Linked DNA regions of Drosophila melanogaster. The protein of the gene in region 1 interacts with the protein of each later gene in a pairwise test. Each region holds a gene or a part of one and is shown on either strand. Other genes may lie near its edges.

Region 1 (8,238 bases):
AGACGCTGATGGTGGGCACTGATATCCGGACATAAGTCTAAAAGTTTTTTCCGAATCTGCAGCTCTTTCAGCGAGGCGTCGTCCTGCAAGAACACGATGCTGCCATTGATTAGCTTCAGCTTGGGCGATCGGAAGACGGTGTCCTGGTAAATGGTGAATATGTTTTCCAGGGCACGCGGAATGATTCCAGCACGCACATCATCGCCTAAAAATGGATTTAAATTAACAATTGCCCAGCAAACTTGTTGCAAGTCCTCTTCGCTTACCCAGTAAGGTATACGTTTTTCCAGACCCCGATGTGCCATATGTCATAATGGTCACACATTCCTCCTCCATAATTTTGGGACCCACACAGGTATCATAGATGTCTCGCTGGCCAACGGTGCTGTCAAAGATGGAAGTGAATCCAAAGTGTTTTTCCATGCGGTTCACATTGTTGCTGGTCGAGTCCACTTTGCAGCTAGTGATCAGCACATTTGCTTCTTCCGAGACTATGTAGGCTTTGGATGCATCCTTAACGGGACGCAAGCGCAGGAAGACCTGTGGCCCCGTTTCCACGTTGCTGCTGTCTGCCGCACTGGTAGCGCATGAGGCCCCTTCGGTTGCCTCGCTCGACTGGTACTTGTACTCCGATTCCGTGTCCGAGTATTCGGAAAAACTTTCTTCCTCCGACTCCTGAATGTTGTCAAACAGACGCATCTTTTTGTTGGGTCGCGGTCGAAAGCGGCGGTCGATGGAGGGATCCCGGGCCATCAGGAAGGAGCGCACCTCCCGCCTTGGCACCTCCGAAACCTCCTTGCTGTCCATTTTGCGCTGTTTATGTGGGTTGAAGGGATACTTTTTAGTTTACTTCACTTCGCGCTATTTTTCAGACGCCAGGGGGCTGCCAACTTTACTTGAATTTCAAATGATAGCTGGCAGCTCCACTGGCTAGTGTGACCGTTGATCATTTGAATTAGCCGTTACAAAATACCATCAATAACATTTAATGTAGAAATTCAATTTTTAATAAAAAAGATAAATTTTGACAAAAAAAAATCGATAGCAACACGTTCCAGTTATTATAAATAATTTCAATTCATTCTAGTACTAGCACACATTTTTAGTATAAAAATTCATTGATTCAAACTTTATAAAATAATAAAGGCATATATGTGCAGTTAAAATCCAAATGTTACTAAAATTTAAGTTAAAAATTCACTTTAAGTCTGTTAAATTACCATGCAAATATTAAGTTCACTGACTTGATTATCGCGCATTCTCCAATTTTGCCCATATGTAAGATTAGCAGCGTCGACAAATAATTAGGTGACAAATTGCCGGCACGGCACAGCACCGGCCATTTGTTTAATGTTTGGTTAACAAGTCTGGACAGCATAACAATAACAGGCTGCGCAAATAGAGCACCCTGTCGCCAAATAAGTACTCCCTTAAAACGCAAATTAATTGGGCTTGTTTACTTTTTCCAGTCTGATTTTTTACGCCCCCTGTCTGGGAATTCAAACAAATATTGACTAAATGAGTTATAAGTAGTTGTAGAAACAATTAACAATTGTATGTACTAGACAAATATTGTAAAAAAGTGTTTAATGAATTATCAGTACGTGTGTACTTTTTCTCGCGATAATTAAAAACAGACTCAACATTTGTAGGTAATTAATTTAAAAAAATAATAAAAACTTAAAACTGGGCGCCAAAAATAATCGGGTAAATGATGAAATGAAAACCCTTTTTACAAAATATCAGCAAGCTTTTGTCAACTCAGGAACTGTCACCATCATCGCCAAGTTTTCGAACTTTTCGCAGGATTCGTAAGAAATTAAAATTGGGCGAAAAAAATAAAATTATGGAATTGATTGAAACAGCTTCGACTCCTGGAGATTCCGAAACTGAAATCGCCATCCCGGAGGCCGCTTTCGATTCCTTTAAGATGCCTATGCTACCAAGTCAGTTCCATTTGGAGAACTCCATGTCTCCGGGCTACGCCATTAAGCACTCGCTCCTCGGTCACAGTGGTTGCGTTACTGGTCTAAAGTTTAGTTCGAATGGCGAGAACTTGGTCAGCAGCTCCGGCGATAGGCTGCTTAAGCTCTGGGACTTGAGCGCAACCCGATGCATTCAATCGCTGGCCGGGCACGGAGACGGAGTCAACGATGTCGCCTGGTCGGCGGCTGGATTAATTGCCAGTTGTAGCGATGACATGACCGTGCGTCTCTGGGATGCCCGCAGCAAGCTCTGCGTCAAAGTTTTGGAGGGGCATTCCAGGTACAGTTTCTCCTGCTGCTTTAATCCGCAGGCCAATCTGCTGGCCTCCACTAGCTTTGACGAAACAGTGCGCCTTTGGGATGTCCGCACTGGCAAAACGCTCAAAATCGTCCACGCCCACCAGGATCCCATAACATCGGTGGACTTCCACCGCGATGGCAATATTTTTGTCACCAGCAGCTATGATGGGCTGGTCCGCTTGTGGGACTCTAGCACCGGGCATGTGCTGAAGACTCTCGTTGACGTTGACAACATCCCGGTCGGATATGTGAAGTTCTCACCGAACGGACGCTACATCCTGTCGTCCACATTGAACAACACCCTTAGGCTATGGAACTACAAGAAGCCCAAGTGCATGAGGACCTATCGCGGGCATTTGAATGAGTTCTATTGCTCCAACTCCAATTTTTCCACCACCGGCGGCATTTGGATTGTCTCCGGCAGCGAGGATAATACGCTTTGCATCTGGAATCTGCAGACGAGGGAGCTGGTGCAAAAGATAAGCACGGAGGGCGACCAGATTTTGAGCACACATTGCCATCCCACGGCAAATGTGATTGCTAGCGGCGCCCTACAAAATTCATATGCCATTAAAATCTGGAAGAGCAGCGAGAAGTAGTTCCAACAATCAACAAAATTCCTCCACTCATTAGCTTGTAATTATTTTCTTTATATAAATAAGCCGGCCATGTCATTAGCCAAATATTAAGGTTGTCTTTGTAATTGTTTATCAACGGACTAACAGAGCGAACATGATATGGCGGCACCGGTACCTGCGCTTGTAAATCTTATATGGCCAGAATGTGCGAACGCGATTGCTTTCGGTCTCTAAAGCCGTTGGACGACGGCGATCGGAGCGGCAGTCGCGTTTGGAGCAGCACACTGAGCGGACGCGTTAGCTCCCCGGTTTTGATTACAGCCATTGCCTTTGCATCGCAGCCGGTTTCCCTATCGTTCTCGGAACTACAGCCCGGTTTAAAGCTGGAGAGCCACCCGCGATGAGAGCCGATGAGGGTGAGTAACTGCTCCAGGGGTTTTTCCGGAAGCAGCGATCGCGGCGATCAGGGTCAATTGATTTGATGCGTTTCCAGCGATTGTGGGGGCTGTAATCGTATAAAATACGTGCCAATTCATAAAAGAGTATCTGAATGCACCTTATCTGCGTGGGGTAGCCCAGGTTGTCTGGCGATAAGATGACCAGCCCAAAGTCAATATAAAACACTGATCGACAGATGTGCGAACAAGTTGCTGCCAGGCAAGATTAGCCCCGCACGGGGAGGGGTTATCTTGGCACACTTAAATACTCCTTATCCAAGGCTTGTTTTGAATTCGCAGATAATCTGTACCGGGAGCAACTGCCCAATGTGAGCACGCTTATTAGGGATGGCGGTCGTAAGCTGTGCCGTCCGTCCACCGTGACCAACAAGTTCCCGATCCTGAAGTGGCTACCTCGTTACCGATTGGAGTACATCATGCAGGACTTTATTGCGGGATTCACGGTGGGATTAACGACTATTCCCCAGGCGATTGCCTATGGAGTGGTGGCCGGCTTGGAGCCGCAGTATGGTTTATACTCCGCCTTCATGGGTTGCTTCACATACATCGTGTTTGGTTCCTGCAAAGATGTCACAATTGGTGAGTTCAGATGTGGGGTAAATTTCTGCTATCAGTGCTAATTTCACAACATCCACTAGCCACAACCGCCATCATGGCTCTAATGGTCAACCAGTATGCCACTATCAGTCCGGATTATGCGGTTCTGGTGTGTTTCCTAGCTGGTTGCATTGTACTTCTACTTGGATTGCTCAACATGGGTGTACTGGTCAGGTTCATTTCGATTCCCGTAATCACTGGCTTCACCATGGCGGCGGCCACCACAATTGGCAGTGCCCAGATCAACAACATCGTGGGTCTGACCAGTGAGTTGCGAAATTATTTTTTTATTTTCTAGAAATTTCAAACTACCTGAAACATTGAAATGCATTGAAAATAGGTCCTTCGAATGATTTACTGCCCGCCTGGAAGAATTTCTTCACCCACTTGACGTCAATTAGGCTCTGGGATGCCCTGCTGGGTGTCTCATCTCTGGTGTTCCTGTTGCTCATGACGGTGAGAAGAAAATAAAAACGAAATTTTATTAAATTTCAATATCAATTTAAGCCAATCAACAAAATTCTTGCAGCCGCTTGATTTTGATTTCGGGTTAAAAACCTTAAGATACAGCATAAATTTGGCTCTTCAGAATTAGTTGCTTTATTAACTTAAGTTAACTTGATGGTTGCATTATATATTATATATATTATTCACTAATTTACAAATGTAATATACTTTCAGCGTGTTAAAGACATCAAATGGGGCAATCGTATATTCTGGAAGTACCTTGGTCTCTCCCGCAACGCCCTGGCTGTGATCTTTGGCACCTTTTTGGCCTACATCCTCAGTCGAGATGGGAATCAACCCTTCCGTGTCACTGGAAACATTACGGCCGGAGTACCGCCCTTCCGGCTGCCGCCCTTTAGCACCACCGTAGATGGAGAGTACGTTTCCTTTGGCGAGATGATCAGCACTGTCGGCGCATCCTTGGGTTCCATCCCCTTGATTTCGATCCTGGAAATAGTAGCCATATCGAAGGCATTTTGTAAGTATAATTTGAATTAGTTCTAAAGCCATTTATACTAAGGAATTCTAAATTTTCAGCTAAGGGAAAAATTGTAGACGCATCGCAGGAGATGGTGGCACTGGGAATGTGCAACATCATGGGCAGCTTTGTGCTCTCCATGCCCGTAACGGGATCCTTTACCCGCACGGCTGTGAATAATGCCAGTGGGGTGAAGACACCACTGGGTGGAGCTGTCACCGGTGCCCTGGTGCTCATGGCACTGGCATTCCTTACCCAAACTTTCTACTTTATACCCAAATGCACGCTGGCTGCAATTATTATAGCGGCGATGATATCGCTAGTGGAGCTGCACAAGATTAAGGACATGTGGAAATCTAAGAGTGAGTTTATGCTGATAAAGTTTTGTAGGTATTACTACTAACGCTCTGTCTTAACTTTCCAGAGAAGGATCTGTTTCCCTTTGTGGTCACTGTACTCACCTGCATGTTCTGGAGTCTGGAGTACGGAATACTGTGTGGCATCGGTGCCAACATGGTATACATTCTATATAGCAGTGCACGTCCACATGTAGACATCAAACTGGAGAAGGTGAGCTTATCCTATCTTATCTAGATGCAATTTACACTAACAAATCATATATCATCTACCAGATCAATGGTCACGAAGTTAGCGTGGTGGATGTGAAGCAAAAGCTGGACTATGCATCGGCTGAGTATCTCAAGGAGAAGGTGGTGCGCTTCCTGAACAACCAGAATGGCGAGACCCAGTTGGTGGTTATCAAGGGCGAGGAGATCAACTCCATTGACTATACAGTGGCTATGGTAAGTGGGCCGCTAAAAGCACACAATCTGATTGATAATAATGTTTGCATCCCCATATATAGAATATTGTCTCGATGAAGGGCGATTTGGAGGCACTGAACTGCGCCATGATCTGCTGGAACTGGAACATCGCCTCCGCCGGAGTCGTCTGCCGACTCAACAACGATCTCCGTCCCATCTTCAAGTTCGATTTATCGCTGGAGGAGGTGGTAGCTGGCCACTTCGATAGTCCCTCCAATACGGCCTCCACCGTAACCATCGAGGCCTGAAGAACCTAGTTTATTATAAGCTGAAAGTATTGCATCAATATCACAATTATATGAAATTTCATTTAAGCAAAGAAATCCACTTGAGTGGCGACCCTCTGTCTGGCCGAGGTGTCCAAGTGCTCTAGAATTACGTCTGGAAAGGCATATCCTTCGCGGAAACCGAGAATGATGTCATAATAGTTGGACACAGAAATTAATTGAGCCGTAACCGCAACCATTTCGGGTGACCACTTCGCAGACTGCCTGTCTGCCTACACCGTGACCTTTCTTCGAACCTTTTCATATTCATGGGGAAAGTAATTTATGACCCTACATGTATGTTAAGGCAGGCACTTCAACAATACCGTCGTGCCCTGCCAGAAAGAGAAAGGTTGAGAGAAATTCCCTATGCCGGGTAAACGAGTTCTTGGAAGTGGAAGAGACTAATCTTTATTTATTGGACTTGGACTCGGATGCATAGTTACCGAGAACCCGTTGGCCGGTAGGATCGAATGGGCTGCGCAAGTGACAGTCGGCGCGGTATTTCTTGCCCAAGATGTCCACCTCGTACTCCCCGTTCCGAATGTAATCAGCATCGATGATCTTGCCATCTGGTCGGGACACGTATGTCTGACCGAGGGACTTTCCAAGGGTATAGGCATATTCAGCTCGTCTAAGTATGCCCACGGGCTCGCCATTTCGGTAGACTCCCTCCAAACCCCAGATGGGCACCTGATCCCGGAGCGTCAAGTAGACCAGTCGCTTCTTTAGGCCCTCAGCTCGCTGATTTTCGATGGCCGCCTTGCCACGGTAATCTGCACCCGTTTTGCGACATGTGAATCCCAAGCCAGCTTCCAGGGGCGTGTCATCCGGTCGCAGATCGAAGCTCCATAGATGATAGCCTTTTTCGCTGCTGAGGGAGTAAAGGGAACGGTAGCCAGCATTGCGCAAATCCTCTCCAGCTCCCGCTTTCATCAGACTCCGATAGACGGCAGCACAATCCTTCTTGGGCACATGAAGCTCGTAGCCCAGTTCTCCCACAAAGCTGACCCGCAGCAAACGGAGACCCACATCACCGAATTTGGCTAATCGAGTGCTGTTGGGAGCTACGTGCTCATCGGACAGATCACAGTCGATGAGGGGCTGCAGGATCTTTCGGCTGTTTGGTCCTTGAATAGAAATCACACCCAATTCGGCAGTCAGATCCTTGAGGCTCGCATTGAATCCTTTTCGACGGATCTCTGCCAGCAAAACACTGTAAGTGTAGAAGGCAGAAGCGCCGCCAGCCACAATATAAAAGCCCTGGCCATTGATCTTGGGATTGTAGACCTCTCCAGAACCGGGAGCAAGGCGGGAAATGGTCACATCCGCCTCCACTCCGCCGGCATCGTTTAGAGCACAGGTGTAGACAGTTCTAAAATGGAAGTGGTAATTGTTTAGAAAGGTTTCTAAATTTGTATATCTATACATGGATCTTACTTGCTGGGATCCCTGTTGGTATTGGCGGAGAATAGCCAGTCAGCGGCCTCCTGGGCCTGTGGACCATCTAGAAGCAGCTTGGCGAAGTAGCTCATGTTAAAGACCACGGCGTTATTGCGACATGCCAGGGCCTCCGAACCGATCTGAAAGATATATATCATTATTTTGGCTTTCCATAAGCTACTTAGCTACCTACGAGATCGTGGTACTCCGAGAAGCGGCTGTAGTGAAGATCCCCATCCAGAACTCTCTCGTACTCGCTGTCCTTGTGCCTCTGGTGGACATAGCTTCCGTACCAGTCATAGGGCTGAACCACCGCCTTCTTGGAACCGGTGGGCAGGAAGAAACCAGGCCGTTCCCAACCCTGCTTCTCCTCCATTACGGCGCCTGCCTTCATCATCTCGTCGTGAAGTGGATCCTTTTGGAAATCACGACCCGCCAGTGGTTGATCATACTTGAAGACCATGCTGTAGTTCTTCACGTAGCTCTCGTGCGACTTCTCCCTAATCCACTGAATGGCTTTGCCCTGCTCCTGGGTGAATCTGCGCAGATCGAAGCCAAACATGGGCAGGTCCGGTTGACCTTGGATGACCCACAAGGCGGTCTGCTCTCCGCAACCACCACCAAACATCATGCCCGCTGAATTGAAGCCACAATTGTGGTAGAGCCCATCTAGGTTGGGATCCGGACCCATCAAGGGTTTGTGGTCGGGTGTAAAGGATTCCGGGCCACAAACCGTGCTCTTCACGCCATATTTCGCATAGCTTGGACACAATTTCTGGGCTCCCTCGACATGGGTCTCGAA
Region 2 (6,635 bases), on another chromosome or scaffold:
ATGTCGGGCACTTTTGAAATTTCCTACGCAATTTCCGTTGTCAACACCTTGACAGCTGTCAGACGCACACACAGACACTCTCGACACTCTTGCACACTTACACACGCACACCCGCACACCACACACTCAAAGGCACTTGTCAGTTCGATTTTTCGCCTGCCATGTTTGTTTTTGCTCTTTTTTGCCTAACGGAAACGGAAATTGTTAGGCTTAATAGACAATTCGCATTTCCTCTTCCTTTGAAGTCCTGTATTCAGCAGCCCGCTTCAGTCCGCACAATTGCACAAATCAGTGCTCCTGCTGCTGTTTCTGTCTACTTTGCGTCCGTTGATGGAATCTGAATCTGAATTACAATAATTGTAATATTTAACATCTCAATGGCCAGCCAGATCCTTTGCTCCTCTAATGAGGCGTCACCGAAGGACATGCATAATCAATGAAGGACCAAACGGACGAATGAATCGCTCAATGAGCGACTGAATGAGTGAATACCCAAATAAGCGAGCGTTTCGAAGGCGTAGGATGCAGATTATGAGGATGGATTAATTAATTAAGCATTATTTAGCCAGTGAAACCGATTTCATCTTTAAATCTATTTGAATGTTTTGCAAATTATTAAGATATTCGCATCTCTTCTTTGTATAATTATTAATAATTTGCGCTATTCTTAAACTTTCTTTATAGATACTGCGTGGAATTCGAGGTAATAAAATCATCTAAAGCCTGCAACAAGTTGCCGCCATATAACCTGATGACAGAAGGTAAGAAAAATCAAAGTAACTAAAGTAGTATTTAATATTTATGCAATCAAATGTGTAAAATAATATTTTGACTGTCTTGTGTTTTATTTTCCAGGCGATCGCATCACGGTGCGCTGTGACCTTGAGGCATTGATCCAAGACTCAGCCGGCAGCTCCACCACCGCCAGGACACCACAAGGACCCACTACGCCGTCCACGACCACAGTTTCATCCGCAGCCTCTGCCTTTGGCCAGCGTACGGATGACCTTGAGGAGGAGCGACTGCAGCGTGAGACCAGCAGCGAAGAGGAGGCGACCAATCAGGATGGCGAGGCGGAGGAGGAGGATGAGGAGCCGGAGCAGGATGAGCAGGATGACCTGCAGAATGCCCTGGACTCGGACAGCAACGAGAGTACCGACTACCGTCACCAGCGGCAGTCGCAGATGTCGCAAATGTCGCACAGCCGCCGGACAGCGGGAAAGCGCAGCGCTGTGCCGGCCACGCCCTCGCCCACGCTGCCGCCCACCTACCATTGCCGGGGGGAGGGGCTGGCCGGACGCACGACACGTTGGAGCGCGCTGCCGGCGCCGTCGTGCCGCGGCAAATGGCTCCGTCTGACCGTCGGTCCGCCCAAGAAGTGCGGCCACGCCCAGTTCATCTTCGTCTAAGGCGACGTGGTCATGCCGCCCACTCAAGTTGCGGTGTCCATTTTTTTTTTTCTCCGTGTAGGTTATGGTGTACGGTCTCCCCCACTCATCATATCATATCATATCACCCGCGCCCCTGCCACGCCCCCTCACTTCCGGCCCAAAATCAATAAAGTACCCCATCGTATGTAAGCGTTTAAACATTAAGCCAGTGGATTAAGAAGATCATAGCATATGTATGTATATGTATGTGTGATGAGGTCAGGATTTTTTTTTTTGTTTGTCTCGCTAGAGAAGAGAACCGGAAATAAAGGATACACTGCCAGTGAAATATAGGGTATATATGGAGGAATATCACATATTTCTGAAGTTTTCGAGGGGTTCTACAATTTCGGACTACTAACTTCTGCTCTCTTAGATACTTTATAAATTTAAAAAAAAACTTCCAAAGACTTATGATCTCCTCCACACACATGATATTCATCATATAACCATATTGATATCACGGCTGCTGTGGACTTCCTTCGGTTAGCATTTCTCTAATTAGTTAAGGAAACACTCGCGTGTAAGCATTTGGGCTCAGGACCCAATCAACAACTCAATATAAATGCTGGGGGTCTGTGAAGACGCTCGGATCTCGGATCGGATAATACTAGAAACTAGAGACTAAGTCATCAAATACCGCATAACATCTACAGTGAAAATGGAGTCGAGCTGCGTAGTGAAAGAACCTATATATACATGTATGTGGATGTGCACGAGTGTATCTGTCTAATCGTTAGTTCCCCCCGACTCGCAAGCATATAGCACACACACGTTCTACACATAACATAACATATATGATACATTTGTCAAAAGCAAATGATTAAGGCCCACAATTTTTGGTTACCCAACTGGCAGACAACCCTCTGGAGTCGGAATTAACGTTTGGATCTTAGTATTAATCTGGATTTTAGGTACACACGAATGTCGAAATAATTATTATAATTATAATTAAACCAATAATGAGATCATTCAATAAAGAACGAGTATAATTTTAAAGTAAACCAATGTTGTCTTTGAACATTTACCAATCTAGAGTCTTGAGCCATCCTGGTTTATCTACAACTTGTTTGGTGACTCGATCGTCAGTGCTGCACAGTGGGTCGAAAGTAATTGTAAAATAAAATAAAATAAATAGTTTTTGGGCATATAAAAAGAAACATTTAATAGTTAATGCTATTAAAGCATTTAATAGATTGGATATGTAGGCATATAGATCTTTATAGTATAATTACATTATTAATTTAAAATTGTTTCAGATTTTATTTATTTCCTGATTTTGTGGTACAAGTTTTCCTAGTTTTCTTCTTTTTCAAAGTGTAGAGTGGTCCATAAAAACCATATCTGGACCCACTGTGCTTGAGTACTCAGCTGTTTTGGGTTTACCGGTTGACCCAATTACCACCAATGGTCGGTTAGGTGCCTTTCAGCGCTCTTTCTCTGGCTTTGCCTCTCGGCTTCGAGGCTTGAGTTCACGGTGAAGGCCAGAAGAATGACAGAGAGAAGAGCGAAGACTTGACTTGACTTGACTTAAAGAAAGAGTCGAGAATCGGCCAGAGGCAGCTGGTCCGACGAGGCGGCTACTTGATTAGTCCCAAAGCGATCGCAGACCGAGACGGACCGACGACAAGAAGCTGCAGTCTTAACCGTTAAAAGTAATTCTTTTGCATTTGCATTCTTCAAGTTTCATTTCTTCTCGCCAGTGGTGATTCATCAAGAAATCGGTTGTTTGGTTGTCGGGTTCTCTGTCGGCGGTGTGATTCCCGTTCTTTTTGGTTCGGCCGCGAAGAAAGTTGTCTTCAAACATGTTAATTGCGACGAGGGGCCGTGGGCCGTCGATTTCTTTTAACGGTCTAAGTTTGGCCAAACGAAAACACTTTTCGTTTAAGCCGATAATCGAAAACATCTAGACATTTGACAAGGCCTACACTTAGGTTTTCTTTATTCAGTCATAAAGTTCAGCACATTAAGTTGGTTTAAAGTCTAAGAAACTTTTTTTGTGAAGAGGTCGTTAGATCCGACTTAGATGATCTTGCTTTTTATGTACACATAAAAGCCATTATTTGCAGGGAATTTTAACGGAGTAGTCAAACGTATAATATTAATAATATTATATTTATTAATAGAAACAACAAACACTTATTATATTATTATTAAATCGGACTTAGATATGTTGTCAGACAAAAAGGCGGCTCTCCTGCTGGTGACCGCGATTACCGCCCTCAAATTGGAGGAAATGAATGCCTATAGACGCAACTTCGATGCGCGGCAAAGTAGTAATTCGAATATTCCACTCTGGAAACAGCGAGTAAGTTGGAGAACCTAACGTTCATAATTTTCTCGAACCAATTCCGAAAATATTCGATTACCTAAGGCCTGTGAGAAATCACAGAAACAGCGGCAAAATGCACACTATGTTTGCGATGAAAAAGGTGACTTCAAGTGCCTTCCTGGGTGGCAGGGTGATCTTTGCCAGGTGCCTATGTGTCGAAGGGGCTGTGACCCGATGAATGGTATGTTTACTCCTTCAGATGATTCCCTATCTTGTGACCCCTGAACTCACATTCACACAGGTTATTGCCAGCGACCCGGTGAATGCAGGTGTCGCATCGGATACAGCGGCGAACTCTGCGACAAGTGCATTCCGCTTCCAGGTTGCCAACATGGCGGATGCACCAAGCCATTCGAGTGCATCTGTAAGCCTGGCTGGGCGGGACTCTTCTGCACGGAACGTAAGTAGTTACCGGAAAAGGATAAGCCTGATTACAATCTTACATTTAAAGAACGGAGCATTTAGAGAAGGAGTTAAAACATAGGGAACTAATATCGTTTTGGGGGTTGTACTTGTTATATGACATTTCCAATCAAATCAAACATTCCTAACTCTGTCCAATCCGATTACTCAATTGCCTGTTTCCTCCAATCCGCGCGCAACCAAAGCAAGTTGCCGTACCGGATGCCACAGCACCCGTGGATATTGCGAAGCGCCTGGGGAGTGCCGCTGCCGGATTGGTTATGCTGGACGCACCTGCTCCGAATGCGCCACGATGCCGGGCTGTCAGCACGGCACCTGCAACAAGCCACTGGAATGCCTCTGCCTACCCGGATATACCGGACTACTTTGCCAGACGCGTAAGTCCTGCAACCACCAAAGGAATCCGCCATTCACCCTACTAATCCCAAACTCCATTCCGCCATTCCAGCAATCTGTGACCCAGATTGCAGCAAGCAGCACGGATATTGCCGCAAACCTGGCGAGTGCCGGTAAGTAGGAGCAGCATTTCAATAAAGAAAATGCAGAAAATGTGGTTTCGGCAAGCTGGAGTGCCCCTTTTCGGATAAGTCAACTATTTTTATCCTTAATTTAACATTCCCAAGCATTATGGCTCAGTTAGCTAACAGCAAACTAACAGCAAAACGAACCCATATCTGTCATCAATTTTCACGGACATCCCCTTCTTCTCCAGCTGCAAGGTGGGCTGGACGGGTAGCCAGTGCGACAAGTGCTTCCCGTATCCGGGATGTGCCAATGGGGATTGCGAGGCGCCATGGGAGTGCAACTGCCATCCCGGCTGGGGCGGAATGCTGTGCGACGAGAGTGAGTATATCCGTATATGTGACCATGCCAACGGGAAATTGACCGAGTTGACCCACAGAGCTCACCTACTGCGTGGAGCATCCGGATACGTGCGAAAACGGGGGCAAGTGCACATCGCTGAGTCGCGAGGATGGGAGCTACCAGTGCCAGTGCCGGCAGGGATTTCTGGGCAAGAACTGCGAGATACGCGATGACTTTCTGCTGACCTCAGAGGCGCCACCGCGAATCACACCGCCCACACCCGCTGAGCTCGTACTGGAACTAGATGGCGAACTGGACCAGAACGGGCAGCAGGACATCGGTGCAGGTGTGCCCGATGACAGCGAGCCAGGAGGCGGGCTGGTTGGAGAAAAGTTGCCAGCGGGTAACGAGCCGGAGCGGCGGAAAAATGACACGGTAGCCAACGTGGCAACCGCAGGAACTGGAGCTGGAGCAGGACCCATGAATTCACTACCCGGCAACAGCAACGCCACAAGGACGACATTGGTGGTGGCAACTGAAACTGGCAGCGACAATGCGACTAATGAAGCGTTAAGCGCCGTTACAACGAGGCGTGCCACCCCGATTCCCCTCACATCTGGCGAAAAAACCGTAAAGGGTAATGCAACAAGCGTGTCGGTAGCGACAGGACCTCAGCCACGCCCCCCGCTGCCCATCGTCGCTAGCCAGGAGCAAACAATAGCAAATTTGGCGCCAGCTGGAACAGTAACAGTAACAGCAACAACAGCACCAACGGCTACAACAGCCGCAACATCCGTGACCAGCCACAAGGATAAGCCAAATGTGGCAGACGAGGAGGAGGACGAAGATGACGACGATGATGAGGAGGATGAGGATGGCGAGTACGATGAGGAGGAGGATGAGGACGAGGACGACGAGGAGGATGACAGCGATCAACTCATACCAAATATTATATAGTTAAGAACCTGACAAATGACAAGTAATCCCTCTTATATATATATACACATTGTTCAGTTAAGGGCCCACATATGCAGCATCTCAAAGCAATTTTTTTTTTTTTCTGAATATTTATTATTAACTAATGAATGAAACATCCAATTAAAAAACTCCATCCATTGCGATAGATATACATATATAAATTGTATTTATTTATGATAATTTTAGGGATTAAGCTAAGCAATTTTCGATTTAACAAATGTCAAAAAAAAAAAATGATATTATTAAAGTTTGCTAATCTTAAGTGCTACAAGAAATCGTTGAATCGAAATATGAATAGGGGACCAGAGGATTGGACTCAGAGCCTGTGGGAGTTCAATTCCTGCACTCGGATTGCACTTGGTTCGCTTAAACTTAAGACAAATGGGGGACTACGAGCTCGGGTTTGAATGGGGATCTATATGGCCATCTTAGCGCCACCGAGTTGGGGGTAGTACGATTGGATTGGGTATCGAAAATTGGAATATGGAAACCAGCACATCATAGACATCTAAACATACATATGGACTCTTGCATATGGGCGTTAATAAATATATGTAGTAACTGGTATGGGAGACTTACGAATCGACAAAAAAATATGTAGAAGTATGGGAGAGAGAGAGAATGACTCAATACAATATCGATACGAATAATAATAATAATAATTATAA

Evidence for each region. The genes of interacting proteins can lie anywhere in the genome.
Region 2: the proteins of CG5002 (region 1) and C901 interact in a two-hybrid assay, tested with the Drosophila melanogaster proteins (one large-scale study listed by BioGRID).

Annotation. Positions count from the first base shown.
Region 1 is NT_033778.4:17,747,172-17,755,409, forward strand, and holds CG5002 (uncharacterized protein), read left to right. Parts: upstream 1-3,121; 5' UTR 3,122-3,263; coding exon 3,264-3,279; intron 3,280-3,600; coding exon 3,601-3,900; intron 3,901-3,959; coding exon 3,960-4,184; intron 4,185-4,258; coding exon 4,259-4,374; intron 4,375-4,599; coding exon 4,600-4,903; intron 4,904-4,962; coding exon 4,963-5,265; intron 5,266-5,327; coding exon 5,328-5,473; intron 5,474-5,535; coding exon 5,536-5,706; intron 5,707-5,768; coding exon 5,769-5,975; 3' UTR 5,976-6,043; downstream 6,044-8,238. Other genes in the region: sub (subito), read right to left, coding at 1-205, 267-807; CG10931 (uncharacterized protein), read left to right, coding at 1,847-2,884; Sardh (sarcosine dehydrogenase), read right to left, coding at 6,405-7,368, 7,434-7,576, 7,630-8,238.
Region 2 is NC_004354.4:10,963,518-10,970,152, reverse strand, and holds C901 (C901), read left to right. Parts: upstream 1-3,018; 5' UTR 3,019-3,085; intron 3,086-3,598; 5' UTR 3,599-3,600; coding exon 3,601-3,738; intron 3,739-3,804; coding exon 3,805-3,943; intron 3,944-4,003; coding exon 4,004-4,162; intron 4,163-4,370; coding exon 4,371-4,562; intron 4,563-4,633; coding exon 4,634-4,694; intron 4,695-4,897; coding exon 4,898-5,028; intron 5,029-5,086; coding exon 5,087-5,946; 3' UTR 5,947-6,121; downstream 6,122-6,635. Other genes in the region: vex (vexed), read left to right, coding at 685-761, 856-1,409.